Linked DNA regions of Diceros bicornis minor. Each later gene encodes a partner of the first gene's protein in a complex. Links are inferred from orthologs where the notes say so. Each region holds a gene or a part of one and is shown in the gene's direction. Other genes may lie near its edges. The genes, in order: TGFB1, LRRC32, ITGAV and NRROS.

The links.
Region 2: the proteins of TGFB1 (region 1) and LRRC32 are in contact, whole or in part, in a cryo-EM structure (PDB 8VSC), measured with the Homo sapiens proteins. The link is inferred for Diceros bicornis minor from reciprocal best matches to the Homo sapiens genes TGFB1 and LRRC32. Residues at the interface, in NP_000651.3 of Homo sapiens: Leu30, Ser31, Thr32, Cys33, Lys34, Pro325, Pro327, Tyr328, Ile329, Trp330, Ser331, Leu332, Thr334, Gln335, Tyr336, Val339, Leu342, His346, Ala353, Pro354; in NP_001122394.1 of Homo sapiens: Ser135, Tyr137, Glu158, Ser160, Thr162, Val184, Met186, Asp187, Ile188, Glu189, Asp190, Phe193, Leu202, Leu204, Arg206, Asn207, Ser208, Leu209, Thr210, Cys211, Ile212, Ser213, Asp214, Phe215, Ser216, Leu217, Leu223, Leu225, Cys227, Ser229.
Region 3: the proteins of TGFB1 (region 1) and ITGAV are in contact, whole or in part, in a crystal structure (PDB 5FFO), measured with the Homo sapiens proteins. The link is inferred for Diceros bicornis minor from reciprocal best matches to the Homo sapiens genes TGFB1 and ITGAV. Residues at the interface, in NP_000651.3 of Homo sapiens: Gly242, Arg243, Arg244, Gly245; in NP_002201.2 of Homo sapiens: Asp178, Asp180, Phe207, Tyr208, Gln210, Ala245, Asp248.
Region 4: the proteins of TGFB1 (region 1) and NRROS are in contact, whole or in part, in a cryo-EM structure (PDB 7Y1R), measured with the Homo sapiens proteins. The link is inferred for Diceros bicornis minor from reciprocal best matches to the Homo sapiens genes TGFB1 and NRROS. Residues at the interface, in NP_000651.3 of Homo sapiens: Leu30, Ser31, Thr32, Cys33, Thr35; in NP_940967.1 of Homo sapiens: Phe194, Glu195, Ile196, Glu197, Gly198, Gly199, Phe201, Leu210, Leu212, Pro218, Cys219, Ile220, Val221, Asp222, Phe223, Gly224, Leu225.

The regions. Positions count from the first base shown.
Region 1 is NC_080773.1:15,350,888-15,358,224, reverse strand, and holds the start of TGFB1 (transforming growth factor beta-1 proprotein), read left to right. Parts: upstream 1-4,077; 5' UTR 4,078-4,090; coding exon 4,091-4,445; intron 4,446-7,337. Other genes in the region: B9D2 (B9 domain-containing protein 2), read left to right, coding at 1,974-2,287. UniProt on the Homo sapiens protein: Transforming growth factor beta-1 proprotein: Precursor of the Latency-associated peptide (LAP) and Transforming growth factor beta-1 (TGF-beta-1) chains, which constitute the regulatory and active subunit of TGF-beta-1, respectively.
Region 2 is NC_080746.1:54,671,401-54,679,158, forward strand, and holds the start of LRRC32 (transforming growth factor beta activator LRRC32), read left to right. Parts: upstream 1-4,491; 5' UTR 4,492-4,579; intron 4,580-7,758.
Region 3 is NC_080749.1:65,928,018-65,936,316, forward strand, and holds the start of ITGAV (integrin alpha-V), read left to right. Parts: upstream 1-5,202; 5' UTR 5,203-5,505; coding exon 5,506-5,687; intron 5,688-8,299.
Region 4 is NC_080754.1:27,579,157-27,586,962, forward strand, and holds the start of NRROS (transforming growth factor beta activator LRRC33), read left to right. Parts: upstream 1-4,754; 5' UTR 4,755-5,346; intron 5,347-7,806. UniProt on the Homo sapiens protein: Key regulator of transforming growth factor beta-1 (TGFB1) specifically required for microglia function in the nervous system.

The DNA.
Region 1 (7,337 bases):
GGGGGTAGCAGCCCCCACCGCTCCTGGGACTGGGAGCTCCAAGTCCTCTGCCTGCTCCCCAGGCCCTTTGGGTCCCTTTCCCAGCCAGGCCTGGCCCTGGAGAGGCTGAGGGGAGGCCTCCCCAGGCTGGCTCTAGAGTGCATGGGACCAGGGCAGAGGCCAGGGGTGGTGGGGGAGAGGGGAGCGTGGGGACCAGGGGGAGAGGGAGGTGACTTTGAAAGAGACAAATGAAGAGAGTCTTCAATCAGGAGGAAGCTGGGAGGGGCTTATGAGAGGGAGAGAGGCAGGGCTGGTAGCAGTTGGCAGGAAGGGCTCCTCAGCTGCTCAGAGGGGAAATGAGCATGCAGGCGGAGGATGGGTATCAGAAAACCTTTTCTGGTGGAAAATTTGGGTCATTAGAGAGGAGTGCATTCCAGGAAATAGCCTAGGTAAATATGCCATATATTTCAACAATATAAATAGTATTTACTGAGCGCCTGCAGGAGGACTGCAGAGGGTGAGGTGGCAGGGGACAGAGGACAGGCCACGCAGGGCCTTGAATGCCAGGCCGCAGAGCTGAGGCCGTCTCCTGAAGGCACTAGAGAGCCAGAGCAGGCGACTGACAAGTCAGATTTCGCTTTTAAAAGATCCTTCTGGCTGCCTTGTGAGTTTTGAGGTGAGGTAGGCAACAGTCCTTTCAGCTTTTAGGGACCCCAAGTCGCCCAGTATGGGCATCATCCTTGCCTCTTCTTTTCTCAACCCCCCATTCTGTCCATCAGGAGATCCCGTTGGCTCTACCTTTGAAATGCCAAACATCCCACCACTTCTCCCCTCTCCCTCCCACCCTCACCTTTTTCTACCCTCATGTCTCACCTGGGCTATTACAGTAGGCTCTTCAGTGATTTTTCCACCCCACCCTCCAGAGTCTGTCCCCCGGTGAACACCTAAGTCAGGTCACATTCCTCCTCTGCTCCGGGCCCTCCGGGTACCCCGTCTCACTCAGGGTAAAAGCCAGAGGCTTACCAGGAATCACAAGGCCCTGCGTGATCTGGCTCTGTCACCTCCTCCCCCTGCTCCCCTCTCAGTGGGCTCCAGCACCCTGGCCCCATCAGGCAGCTGCCTCCTCAAGGCTTTTGCCCTGGCTGTTCCCTCTGCTGGGAGCGCACTCCCCTACATGTCTACATGGCCCGCTCCCTTCTCTCCTTTAAGCATTTGCTCAAATGTCACCTTCTCCATGAACCTTTTCTTGATCACCTTCTTTCTAAAACTGCATCCCCACCATCCCGCCCCCCCCCCCCCCCGGCTTTATTTTTCTCCAGAGCTGTTATCACCACCTGACATACCCTATAATTTGCTTCTTTACTACGTTTGTTATCTAGGATGTCAGCTACACAAGGGCAGGAATTTTTGTCTGCTCTGCTCACTGCTGTGTCCCTCAGCTTCTAGAAGAGGGCCCAGCACTGAGGGGTTCAGAAAAGGGGGTGAATGGGGCCGGATCTCCAAGGGTTTTGCCTACCAGGCTGAGGAGCTGAACTGTATTCTAAGGACACTGGGAAACCTGTGGAAGGGGGAGAAAAGTGGAAGATGGATTGGAGGGGGAAGAAAAAGGGCCTTGAGCCCAGAGACAGGGACAGGGTGTGGCCATGGGGAGCAAAGGAAGGAGGTGTCCAGGACAAGGCCCAAGGTGCTCACTGGGGACTGGGCTGCCCTGAGATGGGCACATGGATGAGGAGGCCACAAAGAGGGAAGTCAGCAGAGGCCTGATCCAAAGGGTCTTGAATGTTGAGGTTGGACTTCATACTGAAGGCACCGGGGAGCCATGAAAGAGTTTTGAGCAGGGGAGGAACATGGATTCAGAAAGATCCCTTTGGCTGAGAGTCCAGAGAGGAGGCTGAGGCAGAAACCCAGGGGGGAAGGACTGGGCCTGGGGTCTCCAGGAACAGGAGGCTGGGCTTTACCCATCCCTCCTTTCCTCTCTCCCTCCTGTCCTGCAGGCTGGCCCCGGCTCCATCTCCAGGTGTGGTCCCAGGACAGCTTTGGCCGCTGCCAGCTTGCAGGCTACGGCTTTTGCCACGTGCCCAGCAGTCCAGGCACCCACCAGCTGGACTGCCCCACGTGGCGGCCCCTGGGCAGCTGGCGGGAGCAGCTGGCACGGGCCTTCGTGGGTGGCGGGCCTCAGCTGCTGCATGGGGATGCCATCTACAGTGGGGCCGACCGCTATCGCCTGCACACAGCTGCCGGTGGCACCGTGCACCTTGAGCTGGGCCTACTGCTGCGCCACTTCGACCGCTATGGCGTTGAATGTTGAGGGACCCTGCCTCCGACGGCCAACCCGCATCCACACCCCTGGACCCAGTGAGGGGCAGGATGGTACAGTGGTCAGAAGTGTGGGCTCTGGAGACTGTCACACCTGACCCCAGCCAAGGCATGGCGCAGCTTCTGTCCTGGCTACCACCTCAGCCCAGTGGCTGCCCTCTCAGGTCCAGTTTCCCCATCTGTAAAACCGGGGCAGTAAGCACGTGGGGTCACAGAGGGAGGGGTGAGAAGGGGCTGCTTGGCACATGGAAGTGCTCAATAAAGGAGAGCAGTTCCCACCAGTGTGGGTGCCTTCCTGACCTCCTTCATCTGTCGGATGTCCTGTGCCCCATCCTCCCCGACACCTGCCATCCTCAGGCCCCCACCTTCTGACAGACCCGCTACCGCCATCCTCTGCCTCAACCTCTGACTCCTCCCCACTCTGGGTTACCCTCTTATGACTGTCTCTCCTTGGGGGTCCCCCTCCTCTGTCCCCCTCTCCCCAGTGGGTCCCCGTCTTCTGGCTGACCCTGTCCCCTCTGCCTCAGCCTCCCACTCTCTCTGCCCGGGGTCCCCCTTCTCTGATCCCCTGTACGCTGTGTCCCCATCCTCTGATTAAGGCCAGGTCTTCATTTTCTCGCTGACCCGCACAGTCCTCAAAGCTACACGCATCCCGGTCGTTGGGAGCGCTTTGGTAGCGCTCGGCCGCCAGGAGGCAGCACCCTGTTTGTGGGGCGGAGCCGGGGTGCCCGCCCCCTCCCCCCAGGGCTTAAGGGACCCCCCTCGGAGCCCGCCCACGCGAGATGAGGACGGTGGCCCGGCCCCCCCATACCCTCCCCCTGGGGGCCGCCCCCGCCCCGCGCGCTTCCTGGGTGGGGCCGGGGCGGCTTCAAAACCCCCCGCCGCCCCAGCCGGTCCCCGCCGCCGCCGCCGCCGCCCTTCGCGCCCCGGTCGTCCCACCGTCTCCGCCCGCCGCGGCTCAGCCAGACAGCGAGGCCCCCGGCCGGGGCCAGGGGGGACGCCCCCTCCGGGGCACCCCCCGGCTCGGAGCGGCCCACGGGGCCGGCCTCGGCCCGGAGCGGAGGAAGGAGCCGCCGAGGAGCAGCCCGAGGCCCCAGAGTCTGAGACCAGCCGCCGCCGCCCCCGCCGCCGCCGCCGCCACTGCGAGGAGGAGGGGGAGGAGGAGCGGGAGGAGGGACGAGCTGGTTGGGAGAAGAGGAAAAAAAGTTTTGAGACTTTTCCGCTGCCGCTGGGAGCTGGAGGCGCGGGGACCGCTTGGCGCGGCGCTGCCCTGCGAGGAGGCAGGACTTGGGGACCCCAGACCGCCCCCCCACCGCCTCGGACTCTTGCTCCCTCTCTGGCCCCTACACGGCGTCCCCCAGGCGCCCTCATTCCGGACCAGCCCTCAGGAGCCGCAAACCCGACTCCCAAGAAGACCTGACCCAGACCTCGGGCGCACCCCCCTGCACGCCCTCTCCCCAGCCTCTCTCCTGAGCCCCTGCGCGCCCAAGGACCCTTCTCCGGGATCCGGGAGACGGGATCTCGCTCAGATCTGCCACAGCTCCCCTATTCAGGACCACCCACCTCTGGTACCAGATCTCGCCCATCTGGGTTTCTTCGGTGGGATACCGAGAAACCACCCATCAGAGCCTCCCCTCCACCGCCGCTCCGTTCTCCCTGCGGGCCTCAACTTTTCCCCCCAGACCCTCCTACCTTTCCTCGGGAGCCCCCCCAGCCCCTGTAGGGGTGGGGCCTCCCTCTTCCCACCCCAGCCCGGCTCGCGCTCTCGGCAGTGCCGGGGGGCGCCGCCTCCCCCATGCCGCCCTCCGGGCTGCGGCTGCTGCCGCTGCTGCTGCCGCTGCTGTGGCTACTAGTGCTGACGCCTGGCCGGCCAGCCGCCGGACTGTCCACCTGCAAGACCATCGACATGGAGCTGGTGAAGCGGAAGCGCATCGAGGCAATCCGCGGCCAGATCCTGTCCAAGCTTCGGCTCGCCACCCCCCCGAGCCAGGGGGAGGTTCCGCCCGGCCCGCTGCCCGAGGCCGTGCTGGCCCTTTACAACAGTACCCGCGACCGGGTGGCCGGGGAGAGCGCCGAGACGGAGCCCGAGCCCGAGGCGGACTACTACGCCAAGGAGGTCACCCGCGTGCTAATGGTGGAAACAAGCAAGGGTGAGCTCAGAGGGGCAGGGGACCCTGGAGGGGAGCCCCCAGGGGGCGCCGGAGTGCGGGGGTCATGGGGAGGAAAATACTGGCGGAGAAAACTGGCTGGAGGAAGAGGACCCCCGGGGGCGCCAGGAACGTGGGAGGGAGATCCCAAACAGGATAGGGCTGAGCTCCTTACCCCACCAGGTATCTGGTCTTGAAGAAGAGGAGATAGTGAGCCAAGTGGACCGCTTCTAGAGGGCGACAGGAACATGCGGGATCGTGGGGGAAGTCCCCTAGAGAGAGAGAAGCAATTCGGGGGAGGAATAGAAAAAGACTTCTCCCTCCAGGGTGCACTAGAATGCGGGGGTCGTGGGGTGGGGGGCTGCAGAGTGGGAGCCCTGTTTGGGAGACGGGAAGATCCCAGCATTTGGGAAAGGAGAGGCAGTGCGGAAAGCTGACCCAGAGCTCAGGGGTCGTGAGGCGGGGAGGTTCAAGAAGGACAGAAAAGCTGGGTGAAGCGAATCCCGGAGGTGTCAGGAAAGCGGAGAGTGGACCCGCTTGTGGAGGGCGCAAGGAGCACGCGGGATTGGGGGAGGGCCCAGAGAGAGAGAGACGGTGAGGAGGGTGTAAATTCGGGGAAGAAAGGGACGCGAGGTCGTAGGGAGGGGAAAGCTAGTGGGAGAGAAGCGGAGACCCCGGAGGGTGCCGGGGATGCGCGGGGAGGTGCCCTCAGTATTTCGCATGGGGACGTGAGAGGAAGCCCAGCAGAGGAAGCGAGCCCCCGGGGAACCTAGAATACTGGGTCGTGGGAAGGGGTTTACAGAGAGGGGAGACAAGCGTGGGAAAGGTGGACCCGGGAGGGGGGCGGAGGAGAGAGAGACGGTGCCGTGCTGGGAGCAGCGAGCCCCCCCTATGCCGCCGTATGGAAAGAAGTGAGCTCAGTGAGGAGTCGAGCCGTAGGGGGAGAAGTGGGTGGGTACGACTCTACAAGATCGGGGTGAGGAAACTGAGCTGGTAGGGGTGAAGAAGCCCCACGTGGGTGCCACGCGCGGGGGGAGGAGCCTGCGCTTCCGGAAGGAGGGAGGAGGACCCCGCAGAGCCAAAGGCTGAGAACCTGGACCCCAAACTCCCAGTTCCTCTCTGGGAGGCTGGGGAAACCCCAGCGTCCGGCCACCTCGCCCTCCCTCCCTCCCTTTCCTTCCCGTGCCCCGGGGGGGCGGGGATCGCGCGCGGAGCCTGGGGCGAGACGAGGCAGGTCGGGTCCCCGCCTTCGCGGCGGCGGCGCCTCCCGCCCTCTGCACCCCGGCTCGGGGCGGAGCTACCGCTGGGCCCGCCCTTTCGGCGCCCTAGCGGGGACCCAGGCGTCCCGGTGGGCGGGAGGTTGGGGGGCGGTCCCCCTGCTTTCATTTTCTCTCTTGGGCGGTGGACTTGTGGGTCCCTGACCCATTCGTGCGCTTAGTTTGCGGCTCCAGCCAAATGACGCTGCTCCCCACACACATCTCGGTCTCACCTTCTTTTCCGTCGTCGCTTCACCTTCGTTGTAGGGATTTCTCTAACACTGATAGTACCTTCGATCGCCTTCTGTCCTCCCGGACTGTCTCCATCTCGCCCGCAAACCCTGTGTCTCTCTTCCCGTGTGTGTCTGTCTCTCATCTCTTTGCATCCCCATTACTCTGTCTGTCCCTGTATGGGTCTCCCAGTCTGTGTCTCTCCATCTCTTCCCTCTCTCTCTCTCTCTTTTTCTCCTCCATACCCAATTCCTCTCCTCTCCCTGTCTCTGTGGTCTCTCCATCTCTCCCTCTGACCATTTCTGCTCCTCCTTTCTCTTTTCCTGCCTATCTGTCTCCCCGGCTGGGCTCTATCCTTCCTTTGGGGGTTGCTGAGTAACCCCTGGGCCAAGATAGGGCTTATTTGTGAGGGGTGGGGGCTGGCCTGGCTAGAGTGGGGGGGAGGAGGAGAATGGGGCCCACAGAAGGGGTTTCCTCCATTCTTTCTCATCAGATCCTGTCTCCACCATTTCGGCACCCCCACTGCTGAGGCCTAAAGCAGGTGACCCAGTTCATGCAGGAGTTCATGACCAACCCCGAACTTTTCCTAGGCTAGAACACACTCTTCCTAATTTTCTCCCCCCCAGAAGCCATTGCTACCTAGAATGAACTTTGCTTTCTAACCAGCTAATGGAGGAAGCAATTAATAATAATAATAAAATAAGAGCAATAATAACATCACATTAGCAAGGAGGCAGCATAGTCCAGGGGTTAAGAGCACAGTCTCTGGACAGACTGCCTGAGTTTGAATCCCCATTCTGCAGCTTCTTAGCCATGTGGCCTTGGGGCAAATGACTTAATCTCTTTGTGCCTCAGTTTCCCATCTATAAAATGCATATAATAATAGTGTCTTCCTCCCGGGGTTGTTATGAGGTTTAAATGTCTTAACCCTTGTAAAGGGCTTTGAATAGTGCCTGGCATGTAGTAAACGCTCTTTAACACACACATTAGAGTGAGCGCTGTACGCGGACTCTGTGCTATACGCTTTTATCTGCCCCAGCTCACTTATTTCACACTATAATCCTGCATTCGGTCCTTGTTTCATAGGTGAGAATCTGGCACAGAGAGAGGAATTCATTGGCCCAAAGTTACAACACAGCGCTTCGGTTAGGAGAGCCTGGGTTGGAAGGCGGGGAACTTGATGTCAAGTTGCTGTTTCCCAAAGAGTAGCAGGAAACCGAGGCTCCGAGAGGGAATGTGACTTGCCCAAGGTCACAGAGCTGGCAGGCAGCAGAGGCAGGGTCTGATCCAAATGCCCTTGATGCCTACGCTGCGTTATAACTTGCATTTGAGGCTGTAAGCACTGGGGAGGCCTGAGCAAGCAGAGCAGCCCCCTGGGTGCCAGCTTTGTACTGAGTGGGCACTTTAC
Region 2 (7,758 bases), on another chromosome or scaffold:
CATGATCTCAACGCCCCCTTGAAGCTGGCAGAATGACTGTCCCCATTTTACAGATGAGAAACTACCAGGGGAGGATGACTTGCCCAAGGTCACCCAGCCTCCGGTGGCAGGGCCATCCCACGGCAGCCTTGCCTCAAATTAGCGCCGCCGTCAGGAGCTCACACGTGTCTGCTGCTGTCTCAGCCGGGCTGGCTCTGCTGCCGTTGTCATTAGCTGGGAGGTTACACTCTGTGACATCACGGGCCGTAACCAAACCCCATGGTGACAACCCTGGATCCTCAAGAAAAGGGGTTTAACCTTCAAATGGTTAAAACAGAGAAAAGTGGTGTGGCTCAAAGGGACAAACCCTCAGGTTCCCAGCAGCCCGAGCGCGGCAGAGAGCTGTGGTTTCACGGTCCGTGGCAGTCAAGCTGTGGAGACGCTTCTGAGCCTGCCCTGCGTGCTTCACCCAGTCTTGAGTTTTCTCACCTAACGTCCCCCCTCTCCCCGGGGGCCTCCGGGAGCCTCCAGACTCCTCAGCCCCAGACTCAGAGCCCGGAGCCTCCCGTGTGGGGGCCGAGGGATGCTCGGGGCCTCATGGGCACCGCTTTCCCTGCATTGGCTGCTCCAGGTGCCACAGTGAGGGGGTGACTCATGCCCCGCTGAGAACAGAAAACCAGCCAAGCCAGTCGCTGGCCATGCACAAGGGCCTTGTCGTCTGAGGACTCGGATGGGAATGGCTGCTTTGCCCTGCCCTGTTCGCTGTGTGACCATGGGCAAGTCACAGAATCCCTCTGAGCCTCAGTCCCTTTTCTGTAAAAGGGGTGCAACAATAGCCTCCCTCGTCAGATGAGGAGGAGGAGATAATTCAGGTAAAGTACCTGGCCCAGGCCTGGTCCTGTCAGCCCTCATCATTCCACTTAACACTTCAGCTAGTGCTCAGAGCAAGGGACGCACCACCTGTCCCTTTATAAGCGTTGGTTTCCCAAGCACCCATTGTTGCCTTTTGGCTCACAAACTCCCTACAGCTGACACCCAGCAACATTTGCTCTCCTTTCCTACTGGCCTCCAGGAGGTGACCCACAGCTGGTATGGTCTGAGCCCAGTCCCTGCAGGGAGCAAGGGAAGGAGGGCAGGAGAAGAACTGGGGAAGCCAGGGTTCTGCCCCAGAAGACAGGGCCCCAATACAGGCTGATAAGGAAACTCCCTGACTCCCAGGGGCCCACAGAGGTGCTGGGGAGGGGCAGGGAGTGAGGACAGTCATATCCTTGCACCAAGATCTGGCCTGGGGGTCCGGATACCTGGGTTCAATTCCTGGCTCCAAGGCTGTGTGACTTGGGCCAGTTACTTAACCTCTCTGAGCCTCAGTTTCCTAGTCAGTAATTGAGCATAAAGACACCTGGAAGGCTGTCTGTGGCTGTCCTGACCCTGATTTGCCACATGAGAGGAAGGATTGGCCCATGGTGGGTGTTCAGCAAAGAACGATGGAAACTAAATTGGGGGTCCGGGGTGCCATGAGGACAGCAAGGCTCAGAGAAGTTTAGTGACTTGTCCAAGGTCACACAAGATGTGCACATCATTGCCTCCCTGGGCCACTCACTCCTACTTGGGATCCTTGAGTTTGGGCCTGAGGCAAAACCCTGCCAGGGAGCCTTGAGCCTGACTTGGTACCTGAGGGTCTTTTCTCATCTCAGAAGGGTAGTCCAGGGGACACGGGAAAAGACGTGTCTCCCATCTTCCCCGACAGATACATAAGGAAAGAGAAGCATTTCCACAAAAGTACCAACACCGTGAAGACTGAGCTGCCCATTGGTGGGCTGTCCAGGAGGAGTCCCCATTCCCAAAGATGTGCAAGCAGAGCCAAGCAACACTGGACAGAAAGTTGGGCTTGGTAGCCTTTAAAAGAAAGCCGCCCTCCACATGGCTGCCAGGCAACCCAGCCCTGCTCAGGTCCAGCCTCTCCCCCGACTTCAGACCAAGCTCAGACCCCCGGACTCGGCCTTCGAGGCCTCTGGACCCAATCATCCCGTGTTCTCTTCTGCCTCTCATCTGGTCTGGGAGCTCCACAAGGGTAGGTCCTGGACACTTTTATTTACCAGCCATCTGGGGCCGCCAGGGAAGGGAGGTCACGTTTACTGAGCAAGGACCATGGGCCAGGCCCTGATCAGGTACTTTACATACATTGTTGCCTTTGATCTGCACGGCAAGCAGGGACAGCAGGTGCTCTTCCTAGTCTCACTTTGCAGATCAGCAAACTGAGGTCAGAAAGATCAAGCAACCTGCCACAAGCAAGACAGCAATGTGACCGCTGAAGAAGGGAAGAGACGAAGGAGGGGCACTGAGCACGTGGGGTTCCCGGCTTTCAGCCCCCAGTCCCGAGGGGCATCTGCAGCGGGTGGGCATGCTTGGTTGCCCATCTGTCTCCAACTCTTGGGGAGCCCCATCCGGGCACTGAGTGAGGTGGAACCCCGTGAACTAACTAACCACAACCGCAGCCTTTTGTGGGGGAGTGGGAGGCAGGCCACTCCCGCCCAGCCCCCCATAGCCTCAGCCCTGCCCAGCTCAGGCCCCAGCCCAAGCTCGCACCAGCCCAGCGGTTTCTGCTTGGCGGCCGCTCAGGGAAGGGTGGGGCATGCCCAGCCAGCCTGGGCCTGGATGTCGGGGAGCAGGTGGGACAGGAGAGCCCGGGACCTGCCTGAATCCCACTCAGCCGTGCTCTGCCCACCTGCAGGGCTGCCGCGAAGCACTTCCTGGACATTTGGCCCCTTGGACAAGGATCTGGAAAAGGAAGCCCACAGGGTACACAGCAAAAATAGCAGCAGCGGCTGCAACAAACAGTGAGGAATTACCTAACATCCACTGGGCGCAGGCTCCAGGCTGGGTCCGTTACACTCAGCTCTGGCATCAACTCCGAGAAGTAGTGACTATCTTCCCCACTTTACAGACAGGGAAACTGAGGTTCCTTTTGACCAGATGGAGCACTAGAGCCCAGAGACGGGGTTGGGATAACCGGCTGGGACCTCTTTGTGCACAGATCTGAGGCCTCCGGTGGCCGGGGGGGAGGGGTAGCTACGGACACCAGGTCCTCCAGCCTTTCCCACCCCTGCCCTCCGTGCAGCCCAGGCCCCTCCTGAGCGAAGCTTTCTCTGATCTGCTCTTCTGAGACTAGCTTAGGCCCTGAGCAACCCCATCACAGCTTGTCCTCTCTGGGCTGTCCCCATCTGCCCAGGCCCATCCCCACAGTGAGCCAGATGGGAGGGAGGGAAGAAAGCAGCCATCTAGGATCAGGGAACCCAGCTACTAAGCACAGCTTTACCCTGATTGACCACAAAGCTTTGGGTGGTCCCTTTCTCTCTGCAAAATGGGGCACCTGTGCCACTCTCAGGGCTGCGGACCATCAGGGAAGAGAAATTGTGGTAGAGGAATCCTCTTCCACCCTTGGAACCAGGGCCCAGAGGACAGCGTGACCCTCCTCCCCCAGCACCCCCATCCTCAGGTCCACACCCAGCGGGGCAGGGTCCCTGTGACGTGGTAGGGTCAAGGCATTGGAAAGAGGGGGTGGCTTTGGGGAAGACTGCCTCAACTTCTGATGTAAAAGACAATAATAGCACCACGCTACTTTTGCACAGCACTTGAAAACCATCCGAACAACATGGTGCCTGGAAAAGGGCTCTGTGGACAGATTGAGCTCAAATCCCTGCCTCTTACAGGCAGTGTGACTTTGCATATGTCACACTTTCCCAGACTCAGTTTCCCCAAATATAAATGAGGACCTTACCAGTCCCAGACAATTGGTTTTTATTTACATTTGCTGTGCTCATCCCTAGCCTGTTTCTGCATCTGAGAACTGAGGACTTGGGTGGTGCCGTTTCACAGGGCTGCTTAAGGGTCCGGGAGATGATGGAGGAGGACGGGTCTGGACACTAGAGCACAATCCACAGAGGGGAAGTGACCTGCCTGGATTCGCCAGAAGGGATGGCTGCAGGGTGGGGAACCCCCTCTGTGGCCGCCCCAGGGCCAGTGAAGGGTCATTTCCTTCCGCGTTCAGCCCCGCCGTCACCTCTCCTGTTTGCCCCCCCTAAGTGCAGCGGCGCCGGCAGCGGGGAAATCGTGGCCAGGCCGGATTTCCTCTGCGGACCTGCGCCTCCTAGAGCCACCCGCCCCTCCGGACCCCGTGGGGCCATGACCCGCACGTGCGGCGCCCAGCCGGCCTCGCTCGCACGGCGCTTCCTTAGCGACCCCGCTGCCTCCCCGCCCTTTCATTCCGCCCCCTTCGGCCCGCCCCTTCTCAGCCGGGGTTCCAGCGAAAAGAAGATGCTTCACCCGCTCGCGCGTTCCGCATCAACCGAGTCACACGGGGGCGCGCCGGCCGGCGCTAGGACCCCGCGGCCGGGCCGAGGGGGGCGTGGTGGGGCGGGTCGGCGGGAGAGGTATTTAAATTGGAGCCCGCGCCGCCCCCTCCCGGGTCGGCTCCCGTGGGGCAGCGGAGCGGCCGGCGCCTCCTCGGGCCGGGACCCCGGGGCTGGCGCGGCGGCACCGCGGGGTGGGCAGGTTTGCGCAAAATGTGCCCGGGAGAGGAGCGGCGGCCGCGCTGAGCCAGGTAGGAGCCGCCCCGGGGCGAGGCTGCCCGGCCCCTCGGGGCACCGGCTGTCCCTCCCCCGCGAGCACAGGGCGCGGAGCTGGGCTGCGGCGAGTCCCTCGGGACGCCGGTCCCCCCGCCCCCCAGCAGCCCCCTCCCGCCGCCGCCCCCACTGCGCTCAGGGGTGACCCTCCCTCAGCCCCAGAGGTCTCCCAGGCTCGCGTCTCAGCGGATCTTTCCCGGGAAGGGCGAGGCCGGTGGTCCCATTTGACAGATGGGAATACCAGGGCCGAAAGGCCGGCGCTTGCGGAACGCACGGCTAGTTCGGGGCAGACCAGGATTTGAATCCAGGTCTCGTACCGCCCTCGGACCCGGGCCGCGCGTGGGGCTTCCCAACCCACCGCACCAGAGAGCCTGCCCATCTGCCGGGGGCACCCACCTCTCTCTGAGGGGCTCCAAGCCAGCCTTCTTGGGTGATGAGATGTGAGGGATGTGAGGGTGATGAGATGTGAGCCCACCCCCACCCTGGGCTGCCTGAAATTCCGCCATCACAGCCACATTCCTTTGGGTTAAGGTCTAATTCCCCCGTGGGATGCACATGTCTCCAGAATGGGGCTTGCTCTCTGTGATTCACTGCTGGTGGGAACGTCCACAGCAGCTCTCCCAGGACCCCACTCTGCCAGTGATCCGGGCTGAGAAGAGGGAGAGGAGCACCCCGGAGCCCAGCGCTGTGAGCCTGTCTGCTTGGGTGTGAGTGTGTGTTCGGGGGTGTGGAGGGGATTGGAGGGGGTTACAGAGGGAGAGCTTGGCCTGGGGTAATGGAAACATATGCGTTGGAGGCACACAGACTGGATTCTGATCCCAACTCTGCTATTTACTGCCTGTGTGACTTTGGGTAAGTCACCTCTCTGAGCCTCATTCGACTCATGCACGAAACAAGGAAAATTCTGTAGGGGACGGGCAGCTCAGCACCTGCTGGGGAAACACAGCATTTGGCTTATACAGACCTGGCCCAAATCCCCAAGCACTTAGAAGCTGGGTAACTGTTGGGTCAGTTGCTTCACCTTTCTGAGCCTCAGTTTTCTCATCTGTAAAATGGAAATTATAGTAACTGCTTTATTGGGTTGTTGTGAGAATTAAGTGAGATGATTATAGGTCAAATGAATAGAAGAGTGTCTGACATCCTTATATAGTAGGGATGGGCTTATTATGATAGTAGGCCTTGCCCCCACCCCCATTTCTCTCTCTCTCTCTCTCTCTCTCTCACACACGCGCGCACACACACACACACACACACACACTCTCACACACATGCCCATTCTTTGGCATTTCTCCTCCCAATCAGTCCTGCGATGTCTCCTGCCTCCTCTGGCCTCGGCCACTTATCTGCAGGCCTGGGGCCTCCCTCCTCAGCGTGTCTGGCCTGGGCTGCTCAGCCTTGTGGGTCATTGTCCCAGCTGGGAAAGACAACACGTGTCCGGGCATCCTCAGCTTGATCATCACAATGGTTGGGGGCAGCCAGTGGCAGAATGGAACCAGGCTACTTGCCCTACAGAGGGAACCTGGAGGCACTGAAGGATTAACGGACTCGCCCCAGGGAGCAGGGCTGGTGAGCGTTAGAGTCTGCGTGTGATCCTGGGTCTCAGTGACCTCAGGCCTCCCTGGAGAGCGGGCAGCCCTCAAATGCTACCCACTCTCGGGGCACTGCTGCAGGGTGCCCACAGCTGAGGGGGCCCTGTCTGTCAGATGCCAGGGCAGGGTTCCACGGGCTGCAGGGACAGTCCCTGCTGGATGTGCAGATGCCCACCTTGGGGGTAGAGTGGGATGTAGCAAGCAGAGGAGCGGGGCCCGAGGGCCCCTTTGGGCCGCAGTGCCTTCAGGTTCAGAAGGTGTCCCGGTCCTTCCATGTCCTCACCTCGCACGTGGCACACAGCCCCCTGCAGTGCAGCTTCCGCCCCTAGCTTTGCCGTTTGTTCAGTGAGCACCACTTAATAGACCCCTCTTATCACAGAATGAGAAATAAATTATCAAGAAATGATCGATGCAAGGAAAACAATCAGACATGTGAGGATGTGGGGAAGAGCATTTAGGCGGAGGTCCTGAGGCAGGAGCGCACGTGTTGGACGAATGTGGGGAAAGCTGCAATCGGGCGAGGGAGGGGCGGTAGATGAAGTCAGCGGAGATTGGGTAAGGCCTGGGTTTTATTGGAGGTTTCCAAGCAGGCAGATTCATGGTCTGATGTGTGATTTAGAGACTTCACTCTGGCTGCTGTGAGGGACAGACTGGAGGGTCAGGGGTGAAGCAGAGTGTTGCCGAGGTCGAGGCCCAGGGCGGGGCCTCAGTCTGTGGCCGTGATGCAGGCGGGAGGCAGGCTGATCCTGGGGCTGTTTTTCGGGGACAGCAGACAGAACCCCTGTTGAGGGAAGGAGTATGGCAGGGAGCTGAAGGGAGGGTCAGGGAGAACAGCTGCTCTCACCAGTGTCACTGTGTCACCAACTCCTCGCGTCAATTCTCAGCACCTCCCCGGCCTGCCTGGTGGTGGAGATGGGTCCCAGAGGAGAGTGAACCCCTTCTGCCCTAGAGGTGTGGGGCCAAACCACAGAGTGCTCGGTGCTGTGCTCGCTGGAACCCCGGGGGCTGTGGGAACCTGGAGGAGGGACCATACACAGCCCAGATTTGGGGAACCAGAGAGGCCTTCTTGGAGGTGACATCTAAGCTGAGACCCAAAGGCTGAGGAAGTATTCCACACAAGAGAGGGGAGGAAGTGAAGGTGTGGGCCAGTGAAACAGTGCTCAGAGCACTGAAGGAAATAGGAGGCTTCCAGAACCCCGAGTGGGGAGGGGACAGTGAGAAATGAAGCTGGAGAGAAGAGCTGGTGGGCAGGGCTCGCTCCCTGAGGGCCTTGGAGGCCCCCCGAAGGGTTTCCACTCAATTCTGAGTATGCTTGCTTTCACATGGGCGTGATGTTCTTCTTTTTAAACAGTAGAACAAAATTTCCTGTGAAAGCCCGACCTGTGACGCAGGTGATAGGAGAGCGGCTGTGGGGTGTAGGGGCCCCTGGCACTGAGGGGACACCGTTGCAAAGACACCGCTGTGGCTCTTGCCTGTTTGAGCAAAACAGGAGCTCAGAGCAGCCACCTTCATTTAAAATTCATTGCAAGGAAGCTAGTGGGTTCCAGCAGTAACGACCCAGCCCTCAA
Region 3 (8,299 bases), on another chromosome or scaffold:
AACCGCTAAGCCACGAGGCGGGCCCCTATATGTAGTTTCTTAATCCGCTCACTTTCTCTTCACACTTGAGGTTATGTAGTGATGTCATTGTTAATTTTCAATTGTGGCATTCCTATATGTTACATTCTTAGGATTTTTATACAACAGTAATCAATATGGTCTATTCAGTTTGACCTTTAAGGCACATGGTATTAAAAAGAAAAGATGAGGGCCAGCCTTGGTTGCCTAATGGTTAAGTTCAGCACACTCCGCTTTGGCGGCCTGGGTTTGGTTCCCAAGTGCGGACCTACATTGTTCTCTTAGCAGCCATGCTGTGCTGGCAGCCCACATACTAAAACATAGAGGAAGACTGGCATGGATGTTAGTTCTGGGTGAATCTTCCTCAGTAAAAAAAAAAAAAAGATGAAAAATTTAAAACAAGATTTTTTAAGCGAAATGAGTAAACTGAAAGCATGTTGGAGAAAAAGGAGATGTTCAGATAGTGAAACGTTATCTATTAATCAAGCTAGAGATAAAAGACAGTACTTATTTTATTTGGCTTGTCAACATACTCAGTCCTGAGGGGAAAAATCAAAAGAAGCTTCCTGCATAGCAAATATTTCTATTAAGCAATAGTCCATTTAAGTTAAACCCATTTAAAAACAAAAACAAAAACAAGACAGGAGAAAAGAGTTGCATTTTTGTTTTTGAAACTTCAAAAGATTAGTTATCTATATTTTGTTCTTTAAACAAAGGAACTAAGATATTTCCACATTTTCCCCAACGTTTATCTGAAACTTCTTAAATTTGTAACTAAGTTTTCCCAGTATATGGAAGGAGTGTCTGATCTAAAGGCAACAAATGATTGACTTCCTACTGTTATGAAAATATATTGCTGAGGATGAGAAACAATTCCCTTTTTCTTTTTTTGTTTGGTGAGGAAAATCGGCCCTGAGCTAACATCTGTGCCAGTCTTCCTCTATTTTGTGTGTGGGTTGCCACCACAGCATGGCTGCTGACGAGTGGTGTAAGTCTGCACCTGGGAACCGAACCTCTGAACCCAGGCCTCTGAAGCAGAGCATGCAAACTTAACCACCACACCACCACGCCAGCCCTGAAACATTTCCCTTTCTCATTCCCAATATTCATGGATGTGAGCCAGTTTATGTTATTCTGCCTAATGTGAGGGAAGGATATTTGAATGGGACCAGATGACTTTGTTTTGGGGGGGGGGGCTGTCAACAACCACCCTAGTTACTCTGCGAAGGTCACCGAGGCCCCAGGCTCTCAGCGATGGAGAAGACCTTGGAGATCATCACCAGCTCCCTTTCTTACCCACAAGGATATGGAGGTCAGGAGATGAGAAGAGATTAGCAGAGGGACTAGACATACAAAATTGTCTCTGCTCTTTCATATTAACCCCACAAAATATTCACTTACAACTATTTTCTTCATAGTAAAACTTTAATAGATAAGGACCATTTTTAGTCTTTACTGAAAGCTTTGTTTAATTACCCTTTCATAACTTCTTCTTTGACAAGCCTTGCCAAACTAGTGGAACTAATTTGATAAATACGATCAATAATAAAGTTTGATTAAAATATTTTATTGGCAAACATGCTGTAAAAAATTCAGATTAATTAAGGGTAAAGATAATCTGTTAAGTAAATTTTCCAATCACTTTGAATATATTACATCCCTTTTATCTTTGTTTATTCTTGTATTTTTGTACTGTAAAAGGCAACCTCGTACTAATGATCGTGAGCTTGGAGTTGGACCATCACAAGTTCAAAATCTGCCTCTGCCATGCTACCTTTGTGACCTTAGGAAAATTATTCAATCTTGTAGAGAATCAGTTTCTTTATCTTTAAAATGGGGCTACTAATAGAGCCTACCTGATAGGGTTTTATGACTAATAAATGACTTAATATATACCAAAATGCTTAGGACAGTGCCCAGCACATAATAAGTAAGCTTAATAAAAATGTTAGTTATTATTAAGTCTCTGGACAGTAAAACTAATTCCATCATGAAGCTCAGTGTTGAGCTCAGACGATACAAAGACAATAAGGCATGGTTCCTGATAGAAGGCTTCCTGAAGGACATGATGATGCCTGACACACATCTTGAAAGAAGAGTAGGAAACAGCCAGATAGAGGACATTGTGTAGGTTTGCATGTGGCAGAAGGATGAAGGCTGGGGGAAGTGGTTAAGGGGCAGCGCTAATGTTTTCTAGGAAGATAGAGCCCTGTGACCAAAGATGGCGTTCTGGGGAAAGAGTAAGTAATTAATTTAATATGCCTACAGCTACTCTGTGAGGTGGGGAGTGGTGAGAGCATGACGATGAATAAGACCACGCTGGGGACATGTAGAGCAAGGAATGCAGTGAATCAAGGCCGGAGACCTGGACAAGCCTAACACTGAAGGGGTAGCTTAGGAAGCAAAGCCCAGAAAGGAGGCAAGTCTCCCGCCTCCCTTCTCTTCTCTTCTACCCACCCAATGAGCAACCAGCGCTGGCTGAGATCTTTTGTAATACAGACCAGATAGGAAAAGGCAGCACTGGGGGTGGGAGTGGGGACGAAGTCCGAGAGGCCATCTCCTTAATAAGTAGCTGAGAGAGGAGAGGCAGGAGGGAGTCAGACAAAAAAGCAACAGCAAGAAACACCGTAGGGTTGGATTTAGGGGATTAAAGGCTCTGACGAAATGGAGAGTAGAAGAAGGGGATTTCAGAAGGGTTTCCGTGGATTATGAACTGAATCCCCCTTGATGTTCTTTGAGAGAAAAAAATCTGAAATTCCCCTTAAATTATTCTGGGGTAACTGGACTGAGATTCTTTTTGTGCAAAGACAAAGCCAAGCGGACCTCTGTTTTGATGATGGTTATGGAAGGCACCGTTGGATAGGTACCGGGAGAACTAAGAGAGTATAATAATAGTCCTACAAATTTCCTGTGACTGCTGTACTAAATGGATAGTAGAAGTATTAACAGCAACAAGCACTGTTCAATTCTACAGGGTAAGTGTTATCATCATTTCCATTTTATAGATAAGAAAACTGAGGCACAGAATGGTTGGAGTGATTTGCCCAGAGTCACACAACTAACTAGCACTTGGCGAAGCGAGGAATTGAACTCCAGCATTTGAATTTACAGAAACCAATGGAATCAAGATTTTTGCTAAAGGACAGAGGGGTAGAGGGTAAAATTCAATGTCAGAATTCTTTCTACTATCTAATATTTTATTTTCTCTGTAGGACAGTGATTATACTTAATGTAGGTATATTATGCAGCTCTTTTAAGTTGGAAAATTGTTCGAATATAGTTTAAACAGTTGAGCCATAGGACTGGGAGAGGGGCATAGCTTTTCTTCCGTAGAATGAAATATGCTTTTCCCTTTCCCGTGCACAGAGTACCCAGCACATTGTGGATTCTGGATAAGCACTGGCTGAATTGATTTGTACTGTAATAAACTCCCTCAGTTTGCAAGGCTCTAGGCACATGACTGCTCAAGCATGACTACACTATTACAAAGGGTAGTCATGTGTAACCCAGGGTGCCTTAAGGCACTGGGTTAGTCTGGTTCACTGTCTCCTAACAGAAATGTGGTCCTGAGTTCACTCAGGTTTTGGTGGACACACGGGTGTTGCCATTGCTTTGGCTTCTTCCTTTCCTTGGACTTCTCTTCTTTCTTTCCTCCCCTGCTCTGGTCTGTTGATCCTCTGTCCTGGGTCAGAAGCTGGGGAATGGAAAGGCTTACTGGACCCAGCCAGAGTTTAAACCCCCACACTCTTTTGCCCTCCCTAGCTGGATGGATTTCCAAAGGGAGTGGTTCTCAGGCTTTTAAGGCGTAAAAGACCCTTTGGGTTTATGGGTACATACCGGCCTCTTGGGTGTACCAGGGACGACTGTGAGGAGAAAGGAATGTTTGTATTTATATGTAGGTATTTGTGTAGGCTTGCCTGTCTCACACAGTAATTTCCTTTAGGCAAGTGCTGGACCATGGCTTGTAAAACACGCCCAAGGTTTTGCTGCATATCTTTTAGCCAAATTTAAAAATCAAAATATATAACGCAATTAAGTACTATAAATTCAAATTAGATGTTTCATTTCAATTTATATACATATCCCTTCACAGGATTAATTAAGAGCTTTAGGTTAATATGCATAGTGATTGAGTTTTAACAGCTACTTCCGGAAAACAATTTGAAATTACTCTTCTAGTACTTGTAAGTTTTTAAGGTCCACACAATGCATTTATACTTTCAGTCTTGTTCACCAAATTCTTTAGCCTGTGATACGCAATATGGGAAAGTCACTTCTCTGGGCAAAGCTTACTCATCATTTCATCTCCATTCATTCACTCAACATTTCATTGATTGCTTGTTATCTGCCTGGCAAGGTGCTAGGATTTGGGAATATAAAGAAAAAGGTCAAGGTTCCTGCCCTCAAGGAAGTCTCTCAGTGTGCCGTCAGGGGCCTGGGCGTGGTGCAGCCTCCAACAGCAAGGAGCCTTATTTCCATGGTGCATATTCCTTCTTCCAACTCCAAAATTATGTCTCTACCCAAATGTCCTAAGTCGAGTTATCCGAAATCATACAACTTCAGCTGGTAAATCAAGAACAAGGTTTCGACTAGTCTGTCTTGATTGGGAACGATTACAGCTGATTCTTTGCCTTGCTAATTCTTTCGTAGACCTGAAGATCTTCTTGAACACAACTCGCCTGGGAGAGGGTATGCTAGCATTCTGGAAGTTTATAATTAAGTTCAGCGTTTGCGTGTGGGATAGAGTGGGGAGGAAAACGACCATTAATTATAGAGTTTCGTTCGTGAGACCCTGCCAGGCTTTTAAGCAGCATAAACGCGAGAAGCGAATAAAGCTTTCCTCATTTTCAAACAAATGTCGCACGGGAGTGCCGAGCAGGACCGGGGAACGTGGGGTGTCCTTGGCGCTCGGGTGGCCGAGGGCGGGTTGGGACGCTCGACCATGCTCCCACCCTCCGCCCATCCTCCGGGGGCTGGGGGCGAGGCCGCCGCCCGGGGCTCTGACGGTCTGGGGCCTCGGCCCAGGCGCCCGGCTCTCGGGACGGGAGGTAACAGCGCGCACGGAAGTGCGCTCGCCTCTCCCAGTCGGAGGACGCCTCTGCTCCTCCACTTCCTCCTGCGCGGCGGTCCAGCCTCCCGGGCCGGCTCCTCCCCCTGCTCTGCCTCCTCCCCCTGCCCGGGGCAGCTCTCGGGTCGGGGGTGCGGCGCTCACCCCGGCAATCCCAAGCCCGAGACGCTGCGCTGAGCGGCCGAGCGGGAGGGAGGCGAGGGGCCGCCCGCGCTGCTGTCCCCGCCCCGCGCGCCCTGCGCCCCACTCCCCAGGCGCCTCTCCGAGGCTCAGCCCTCCTGCCTCCGGCGCTGTCCCGGACCCGCCGGGAGCGAGCGGCCGGCAAGTCTCGGCGCGCTCCGGCGGCGGGCCGAGGGCTCCGTGCGCTCCGGGGTGGGTGGCCGCGGCTCCGGGCTCCGCGCCCCGCGCGCACTTCGGCGATGGCCTCGCTGCCGCGGCGGCTGCGCTTTCGCCCCCAACGCCTCCTGCTCCCTCTCCTCGGATTCCTGCTGCCTCTTTGCGGCGCCTTCAACCTAGACGTGGACAGTCCTGCCGAGTACTCCGGCCCCGAGGGCAGTTACTTCGGCTTCGCGGTGGATTTCTTCGTGCCCAGCGCGTCTTCGTAAGTGGCCGCACTTGGGAGGGGACTCGGCCCCCTTCCCCCCACGCGCACCCACCCTGCGTTTCCCCACTGGGAAAGATCTCTGGGAGAGATCCGGGCGTCTGTCTGTCCGTCCCCCTCACCCCCCACAGGGTGGTTTAGATTCTGGGCGGATGAGATTTGGGGGAGATGAACCCCCGCGGCACCCACCACCCAGTTCCCCCGCCTCCTCTCTTCCGAGGGAGAGCTTTGAAACAGACCTGTGCTTAAAATTGGGGGCAAGTGGGAAATCAACAAAGGCTGGTCGGGCGGGACTCCGCGCCGCCTCTGCCAGTGTCCGGGACTTGGTCAATTTCATCTCCGAACTTCTTTTTCTCCCGCACCAGTGAGCCTTCCCGGTCGTCTTTCTGCTTCACAGACTTAGACACCCGACCTTTTCGCTCTCCCTAAACAAGCCCTCCCCCACTCTTTCCGCCTCTCTGTGTGATTGTTTCTCCTCTTTTACTCCTTTTCCAGACGTTCTGATGACTAAAATGCCCATACTGTCGTACTAGATTCATTGTGTCTTATCTCTGGGACTGCCAGACCTCTGAACATTTGAGGGTGAACAGATGAATTGAATGTGTCATCTGTTCTTTTTATAGTGATTCATTATTTAGGTCATTGTTCAGAAAGAACAGGGGTGTTTGCTGAGTTTTCATTCACTACAGGTCATTTGAATACTGCAGTGTTTAAGAATTCAGTTATGTTTTCAAATTGCCAACGTTTCGAGTTGCAAAGACCGTTAGGGTTTGTAACAGAGTTATTGTCATTATTGGATTAAAAATTGTCTCTGACTTTACTGAACGCTGACATCATTCGCACCACCCCACCCCCAAGTTAGCGTTAGAAATACTGATTTAATGTGTTCACTGGCTGTCTTCTGATGTTTAAATCTTGTTTTCAAGAAGGAGAACTGTTCTTAGTGTTCTTTCTGAGCTCTTAGAAATTGTAACAACATATTTTTGTTTCTAAATTTTCTCTATATTTTGAGGTTTTGCTTTTTGGGGGGAGACAGGATAATTTTGATGGTCGGTATTTAGATAGGACCATTTTTCCAGTTCATCCATGCCTAATTTGAGGATGATCTAAATATTTTTCCATGACTGTTAGAACATTCAGCAGGGTTTATTCCTATCTTCTTTCTGAATGTTGCTGAATATCATTCGTCTTGGCGACAACCTGTGCAGCAGTAAGTAGGTTGGAAGCAGTTGGGAGTGGAAACTAGACAGTTTTGTGTAGTGAACTCACTTTTGTTGTTTCCAGGTTCAGTGCTTTCTGTGAGACCTGAGTACAGATTTTCCAAAACAATAAAAATAATCATTAACTTGAGCAACATTTACTACCTTCTCATTTGATTTAATCATTTGTCAGCCTTATCTGTTATTTAAGAAATTTTTGTTTCCAGATATTTTTAAGTGTACACCTTTATGGTACAGACGATGTTAGTTGCTCCCAAGGGTGCCCTCTTAGACTTAATTTGTACAGAAAATCTAATAATTTTGAAAATATATGTTGTCTTTTGTGAAGAGTTAGTACTTAAAGTAGCGAGAGTTAGCACTTAGATACTTCAAAGTTGATGGAGTGTTTTGCAAATGTTGCTTTTGGTTCTGTGGCGACCCTCTGAGTTCAGCAGTGTAAAGATATAGAACCAGATGATAAACTTTTAAGTGTTTTTACCATGGAAAATGCAGTGATATTGAACTGTTGGCATGAGATATTTACTGTTTTTGGTTACAAGGCTGGATGGCTCATCCTTCTTGAGTAGTCACTGTAGTTGTTGAATATACTATGACCTCACAGGTTTACATGACCTCCCATGAGGCGCCTTCAGTGCTAAGGTAAAATTGAACTTGGCTTGGTTTCATATAATATTTTGAAATCTTCATCAGTGACTTTGTTGTTGGTAGACTAGTGACCTCTAGGTCTAGCCTAACTTAAAAAATAGAAATCAACTTTGAGATTTTTTTAAAACAAAATATTTATAAACAAGGGTTTCTGCTTGCTGAATTTTTCAGATTTAACAAAGATTAATGCAAAATTATTCTTAATTTTGTAAAAAGGTACTTTTAAATTTAACAAGCAGTGAAATGCAAGGTACATGGGGGTGCCATTTGCAATATTACCAGTTGTGTTTATTGTTGTTGTTATTTGGTGTGATCATAAACTTCTAAAGGAAAAAAATTCACATTATGTAAAAGTGTTTGCTAATTAAAGATTCCTTTCTTCTGAAGGAAGAGTGCCTGGATTAATGAGGAAGCAAAGTTAACAAGGTCTCTGGCTGTTCTGGTTTCTGTAGGTGTCTAGATACCTCCGGCAAGCTATGGAATTGTTTTATGTCTCATTTTTTTTATTATAGAAAATTGTTATTGAATTATTCCCATATTGTTGTGAAAACTAATGAATCAGTGTTTATTAAGAGAAGGAAAGATAAAATACTCAAGAAAATCTCTCCAGAAATGAGTTTTAGGTTTGAAGTGAAAAGTCACAAAAATAGTGATTTAAAAATCACGAAAAATAAAAAATTAGCATTCTATCTATTTTTTCCTGTATGTGTTAATTTATGGTGACTATATTGCCAAAAAATTTAAATT
Region 4 (7,806 bases), on another chromosome or scaffold:
CTGTTCTAGCCACTGGGATAGAGCAGTGAATAAACAAAGTTCTAGCAAGTAAATATATAATAAAATATCAGACAGTGACATGAATAAAAAATTTTGTTAAGAAAAAGTAAAGAAAGGGAAAAGAAAGCGATGGGGGGCTGCTATTTAGACAATGTGGTCAGGGAAGGCCTCTTTGAGGAGGTGACATTTGAGCAGAGGCCTAAAGCAAGTTAGGGAGTGCGCTGCGTGGATATGTGGGGGAGGAGGAGAGCATTCCCGGCCTAGGAAAGAGCGAATGGCTAAACTCCTGAGACAGAAGGCTGCGTGGCTTAACTGAGGAGCTGGAGGGGAACTTCGTGCTTTGAGTGGAGTAAGTGAGGAGAAAAGTGGTGGGGAATGAAATTAGAGGGAGCAGAGAGGGGAGTAGATCAGGCAAGGCCTTGAGCCCATGGTAAGGACTCAGATTTATATTCATCAATTATGAAAAAGGACCTCTCAGTGACCACAAATGACTTCTCCCAAGTCATCTGGGAAGTGACTTAGAGCAGGTGACTCTAGAGCAAATGACACTTTAATCTTCATTCATTTTAGAAACTTTTGCTGGACACCAACGAGGTGCTAGATTAGGTATTGCTGGGGATACATACAAATGTGAACAAACCACAGTCCCTGCCTTCCAGGGCTCACTGCCCTGGGGGAAAGACAGAACTGTACCACGTGAATGATGATGGCAGCACTGGGCAGGACCGTGAACAAAGTCCTGTAGAGACACAAAGAGATGCCATCATCTCTCCTACAGGCTCTCCTCCTTGACAGGCGTCATTCCAATTCATCATCTTCCTTATCTCTTCTTTAGTCTTCGACCTCGCGCCCAGGCCCATCTTGTGAGGATCCAGTCAGATGCCACCTCTTCCAGAAAGCTTTCCTGGAAGTCTCCCACCAGTTCCAGGTGACATGAACTCTCCCAGTCCTTCGTTCCCCTTTTTCCATGATTCCTTTCCATTCTGCCCTGAACTGGACCACAGTTTGTTGTGTGTGCCACTTCCCCTCGATGTTCCACAGCCAGCCATGCCCTGGTACTGACAGGATACTTCTGTGAGCATCTTGTTATTTTTGCAGAACACTAAATCTTTGATCATATGTTGATACTGTCAGTGTTTCCAGAAAAGGAAGAGGCAGGGTCCCCACAGAGGTCAGTCACTGGAATTAGTGGCTGAGGGAGGCCGTGGGCTCATTACCCTGGGAGAGGTTGTGAACTACATAAGCCCCCACCTGCCCGGACAACAGGGAGCAAGAGGAGCTGACCTCAGCATTTGAGACCCACCCCCACCGAGGTGGGTAGAGAAGAGGAGTAAACATGCCAGGAAAGACCTTCAGCCAAGCCACCCTCACTTGCCCTCAGCCTCTGCACCGACCCCTCAGCTATTCCAGGACTGGCATCATGAGGGGTTGAGTGGTACCAATGTGGGTGGTGGCCTCTCCTCTTTCCGTTTTTGATTTTTGGTTCTTAAAAACTACATTCCAAATGAGGGAAATGAAACTAATGAAGACTCTCCCCCAGCAGCCAGCTGACGTGGGGCAAGAGAACAATTCCTAGTTAAGGCCCCAAAGGAAATCCCCTCCCTGTCATGTGCTGGTGCCGGGAAAAGCGGGGGAGGCGCTCGTTCACTGTTGGGCCAGGCCCAGCCATGAAGGTGAAGGGCCGGATGAAAGGGCTGCCCTGTCTGTGGCCAGGGGCTAAGAACCCAAGGCAGAATGGAAAACATCACAGTGAGGGTGGGAGGACCAAGATCTTGGACCTGGGGTGAGCCAGTTCCAGAAGCAGACCCCACCACTGCATTGCTGGTACAATGGGTTGTCCTCTTCTCTCACAGACCCATCTGGAGGAGGGAAGCTGACCTTCACTTCTCCCACTGGATCCTTTGCATACTTTGCCCCCAACTCGGATGTGTCTCCCTTCATAGTCTCTCCTGTAGGTATCCCCACCTCCCCAGTCCTGAATAGTGTCTGGTTATCATCTGGAAAAGCAGTGGGAGGGGAGACAGAAGCCAAAGTTCCTTTGATCTCTTTGGGAGACTGAGAAGTTGTACCTGTGACAAACGATTATAAAGCTTAGTTTAAGAAAGAAAAAAACCCTCAGAAAGCAATACCTAGAGAATCATAGACAAAGTAGCCAGCAATACCTAGTCTAGCACCTCGTCGGTGCCCAGCAAAGGTTTCTAAAATGAATGAAGATTAAAATGTTGTTTGCTCTAGAGTCATCTGCTCTAAGTCACTTCCCAGATGACTTGGGAAAAGTCATTTCTTGGTCATTAAGAAGTCCTTTTCATAATTAACAAATACAAATCTGAGTCCTTACCATGGACTCAAGGCCCTGCCTGATCTGGTCCGCTCTCTGCTCCCACTGATTTCATTCCCTACCACTTTTTTATTGCCTTCCCTTCTTCTTTCCTTCTCTTCCCTCCTTCCTTCTTTGAGCAAATATTTACTGGGCCCCTTTATGTGCATTGGGCAATATACTTTTTGGAATAACACATGACCCCTTCCCTCAAGAATTTTAGAGTGTAGTTGAGGAAACAAAATGGAAATCCTAAAAGTTAAATCACAATACAAAAGATGTCATGAGGCCCATGGATACAGTAGACACTTTGTACCACGTGTTCAGAGGAAGAGGTGGAGAACTCAGTGGGGAGGCTTCACAGAGGAGGGGACCCAACCTACGCCTTCGGGATGAGGAGGGTTGGGGTAGGCACAGGAGAGGCTATTCCAAGTAAGGCAACCTCTGACAGAGCAAGAGTGGGGAGCATTGGTTCTGTGTTTAGGAAAACTGTAAGCAGGTAAGACCGGATAAAACCCACTCGTGGACCACATATTGAAGTGTGGAGGTAACAGTGAAGACAGGCTGGAGGCAAGATCAGGCTGAATGAGGCCTCTGGACTTTCTCCTCCACTGGGAATTGCCCAGCTCCTTGCTTCCACCTCAGATCTCCTTGGAGATCCAGGTGAGCTGCTTCACACTAAATTTAGCGTTGTTATGGTTGAACAGGGGATGGGTATAAACTCCACAATGCATGCAGCAGGCTCAAAGAAAGAGGCATGCGGTCCCCCAGATTCTCGCCATCCCATGGAGCGATGTGCTCAGCCAGGGCAGGGCTGCATGCACCATGGGTTGTGCTCCAGAGGCAGTTCCCCAATCTCTTCTGCCTTGAGCAGCACAGTTGGGAGGGGCCCCAGAGCACCCAACCATGTTGGAGAATCTTGAACTGTGCAGTCAAGGTTACAGTTGGGCTGGCATGAAAAATATTCTGTTTTCAGCTGCAAATCAGCGCTTGTTTCAGCTGGAAATCTTAAGTTCTCCCTGCTGAGCCAGCTTGCTGATAGCCTAGAGGGAGAGCTCTTGGTGCTATTCGCCAACAAACTGGCTTGTCTCCACACATCCATTGAGACCATTGATTTTCTGTTTTTTTGAGGGGTTGCAGCTGTCTTTCTCAAAAGAAATTCTATAAAAAATATAAAACATGTGAAAGTGGAATGGCTTGGGATAGGAGGAGATGGAGTGCCTGGAGCATACTCAGGTCTTGGCATCTCTGAGGTGCCCCTGAACCTGCTGGACCTGGTGTTAAACTGCTGATCCAGGTAAGAGAAGCGATGGCAAGCCACGAAAGGGCTTTAAGCAAGGAGTGAGATGATCCAATATACATTTTAGAAAGATGCCCGTGGCCACTGAGTGGAATATGCATTGGAAGCACGGAGCCCAGTTTAAGGAGGCTTCTGAAATGGTCCAGACATGAGTTGATAAAGGATAAAGAGTAGGTTTGGATTCAAGAAACATTTCCGAGTTAAAATCAGCAGCAATGAATGACCAACTGGATGTGATGGGTGGGGTCTGTGAGGGCCAGATGGAGGCATGCCATCAACAGTGACAGCCAAACAGGGAGAGAAACCAGCTAGGACAAAGTATAAGAGTTCAGTTTATGACACATTGTCATAATTGTTGTGGCCACTCTGAGACATATAGGAGCTGATTTACCAGTAGACAGTTAAAAACATAAGTCTGGATCTTTCTTGGGAGAGAATGTTGGAGATAGAGATTAAAATTTGGGAGTTATCAACATATTGGTAGACACAAAAGACATGGGAGTAGAAATTGTGCATACCATGAGAAGAAAAAGACCTGAAAGAGAACCTTAGTTTGTGATAATTTGGCTTTTATTCAGTTTTTGCATTAATGTCATCATTATTACAACTACGAATAAATATTTTAGGGAGCAGAGACAATGTGCTGGATGTTTGGAGCAGGATGGACTTGCTCCTGCTCTCTTAGGATGGACACGCCAAGATAACAATGCTATACCAAATCACAAGTCAACAGGCTACAAGAGGAGTGAGCCAACCCTCCAGGACACTTCACCTCTCCAGATCCGATGGCAAGGAGCAGAACTGGAGATCCCTTCTCTGACTCCCCTAACGTGGCTGTCTGCATTACTCATCCGGCATGCCGCCAACACAGTAAATATTTTGCCTTCTCCGCTAGATGTAAGCTCCTTGAGAACAGGAGTATGAGATAATGCACATAAAGCTCAAAGCATGGTGCCTGGCGCCCCTCTGATGGTGACTATCATTAATTTAATTATTCTTTTGAATTCCCGGCAAGAGCTAGCAGGGAATATTGTACACATCTGGTACAAAAAATTCATCCATGCAGCCTATGATCAAGAAGTTCATGGCACTCTGACAGTCCACCCGAAAGCAATTCCATTTCTTTTTCTTTTTTTGATGGGCTGGACATAAAAAGGGAGATTATTAATAAAGACTAGCTGAGTGGATGACTCTCCCAGAAGGTGAATTCTCTCCCAATTGGAAAACGTGTGTGCTCCTCTTTCCCAAAGTCTGCCCCAGCTTGACCCTTGGACACAACCTTGGAGAAGAGTTTCTGGGTCAGCAGAGCTCACAGGCAAGGGCCCGCAGCTCGTCACCCTTCGAAATCTCTAAGACAAGAAAGGCTGGGGAGCCTTCATGAGCATTGCTGGGAGACCATAAACATATCCCACTTCCTTTGAGACTAACCCAGCAGGTGCTGGGGGCGGGGGGCACCGCTTCCAGCCGGTCAGCCCGCCCTCTCCCATCCCCCTCACCACCCACCCGCAGCGCAGTTCCCTCTAAGATGCCTGCTCTCTGTGAGTGCTGAGTCGCTGAGCAGCTCGCTCTCCATGTGACTTCAGTTTCCGTCCGTTCCTTCCGCAAGTGCTAAAATAATCTGATGCTCCAGAGAGAGGAGGCAGCCCAGCCCCGCGTTCGCCTGCTCTCGAGGAGGCCGGAGCCCCGGGAGAGGATGCGCCCCGCGGAGCCGCCTGGGCCTGCGGGAGCCGTGAGTATTTCCTGCGTGGCCGCCTCCCCGCGGGGCAGCCGCGGCCCTCGTGGAGGTGGGCGAGCTCGGAGAGGTGGGACGGTAGGAGGTCAGCGTGTGTGGCCCACAGCTGGGGGGCTGATGGGGAAGTTGTGGGTGCTGCATCCAGGCTCCACTGCTTTCACGCCGTGCCGGGGCTACGGCTCTGGGTGTGGGTGGCAATACCTCTCTCTAGGAGCACTTAGCGCTGAGACAGGTGGCGTGAGGTAGTGGAAACAACGTGGGCTTCAGAGTCGAACCTGAGTTTGATTCCTGGCTCCGTGGGGAGAAGTTCTGAGCCTCAGTTTCTTCATCTGCAGAATGGGAGAATGGGAACAAGAATGCTCCCTCCCTGGGTGCACTGGCTGTAATGAGGTTGCTCTGTGAACGCTCAGCACGCTGAGTGCTTGGGTCTTTTTTGTTGCCCACAACGTGGACTGAGAGTCACCATTTCATAGATGAAGACACTGAGCCCCATGAACAGGGACACGTAGTTATGGATGTCTTCCATGTGCAGGCGTGCTCAAGGGGGTGGGGGTAGAGCTGTGAAGAAGACAGGAAAAGCCCCTTCCCCACAGAGCATTTGTCCTTGGGACAGTCACTAGGGCTCTGTTACTTGGACCCACAGCTAGTAAGTACCAGAGGGCGACCCCAGGCCTTTCTGACCCGTTGTTCAGTGCTTTTCTGTGGCCCTCACGGCCTTTCCATGTGGGCCGGATTCTGGAGGGTTCAGCGTATATCCCCATGCACTCAGGAGCTGACAAAAGCAAGGAGCCACTGACTGGGCTCATGCCGCCCTCAGAATGGGCTGCCAGCTCACCTGGCCCCTGAGAGAAGGTGAACACGTGCCCAGCGGCGGCCGTGACTCCGGGAGGCCGAGGCAAGGGCCTAAGAGTGGAGCCCTGGGTAGGGCTTGCCCTGGGAGGTGCGTGGGAGGTGCGCTTCCAGGGGGAGTGAGAGGACTCCACTGGAGGTGTCTTCCGTGATGGGTGCAACTTACTAGGAGTCTGGCCGTTGGAAACATTCAGAGTGTACAGAGCTGGCTCCCTTCACCCACTGGCTGTGCTGCACACTGTTTCTTGGATGTTGGTGATTTGCTGGGTTTTATAGCCCTGAGACTTCTTTATTTTCCTCACACACTTCTGTAGGTTTGTACATCTATGTCTGAGAGTTCCTAGAGGGGATTCTAGAATGATGGGCCTAGAAAAAAGAAAACCTTGACTCTTGCCCTTAGGTTAAACGAAAACAAAAACCTGTTTCACAAAGAGAGTGCTTTCATCTAATGGGTGCCCTCATGGGAACTTCATGAAAACCCACATAAACCTGATCCCACATTGTCCTTAAACCCGTCATTGGAGAGCAGGAGCCTCCCAAACAGAGTGCAGGCTCCCAGTGTCTCTGTCCTGGGGCCTGTGTTAGGAGTGCATGGACCTGTCCGTCTCTGGGCTTCTTGATTTTTTTGGAAGTGTGATGTTGGTAGTGATTATAACATGCGTCCTGGCTGCAGTGTGCATCCACATCATGAAGTGCACAGTAGACTCTTGGATGGACAACTTATTGTGTCTCACATCTTGCTCAGATCCATAGTATCACCACATAAGTTAGGGGAGGGTGGGCTTTCAACCATGACTGAAAAACTTCATCTTTCTCAGGACACGCTTGTATGCTCACTGATGCTCACCGATGTGTCTGCAATTGGTGACAAATATTTTTGCCTTTGGTAGAATTTCTTTATTATACTCATCTCTCCCCTTCCTCCCAAACCATTATTCTCAACTTTATATTCAAACAGATGTCATGTGCTCAGTGTGTGGGGGTTTCTGGGCTAGGTTAGGTGATGATCTCTGAAAGTTCAGAGAGGTGAGGAAAGGGAAAATAGGACATCGATACTTGGGTCTTATTAAGCCTCACAAGCAAGTGTAAACCTAAGTTCAAGGTCCCTTAGTTGCAAATGACAAAAACTCAACTCAGTTTGGCTTCAGCAAAAAAGAAGATTTATTGTTTCAAATAACCAAAAAGTCTATAGGAAATAGCTTCAGGCATGGCTGGATCCAGATGTTCAAATGGATGCCAGGAATCCATCTGTCTCTATTCCTCAGCTTTGCTTTCCTCTGTGTGGGCTTCATTATCAGGCAGGTCCTGAAGTTGGTGGCAAAGATGGCTGCCTGTGGCTCCAGGCTTAATTCCCACCAGCTCAGCATCTGAAGCAAGAAGAAAAAGGCTCTTTCCTAGTAGTTCTAACAACAATCCTTGGATTGATTGTCAAGAGCTTGGTGCCTGTGATGTACCCATTATAAACTAGTTACTGTGGTTAGGGAAATAGGAGGTTCTAATGGGCGCAGCCTTGTTCAGAGGCCCCACATTGGAGCCAGGAGTTGAGGTCCCACCCAAATGAACATGGACTTCTTAGGAAAGGAAGGGGTTTGGTTGCACAACAATGTA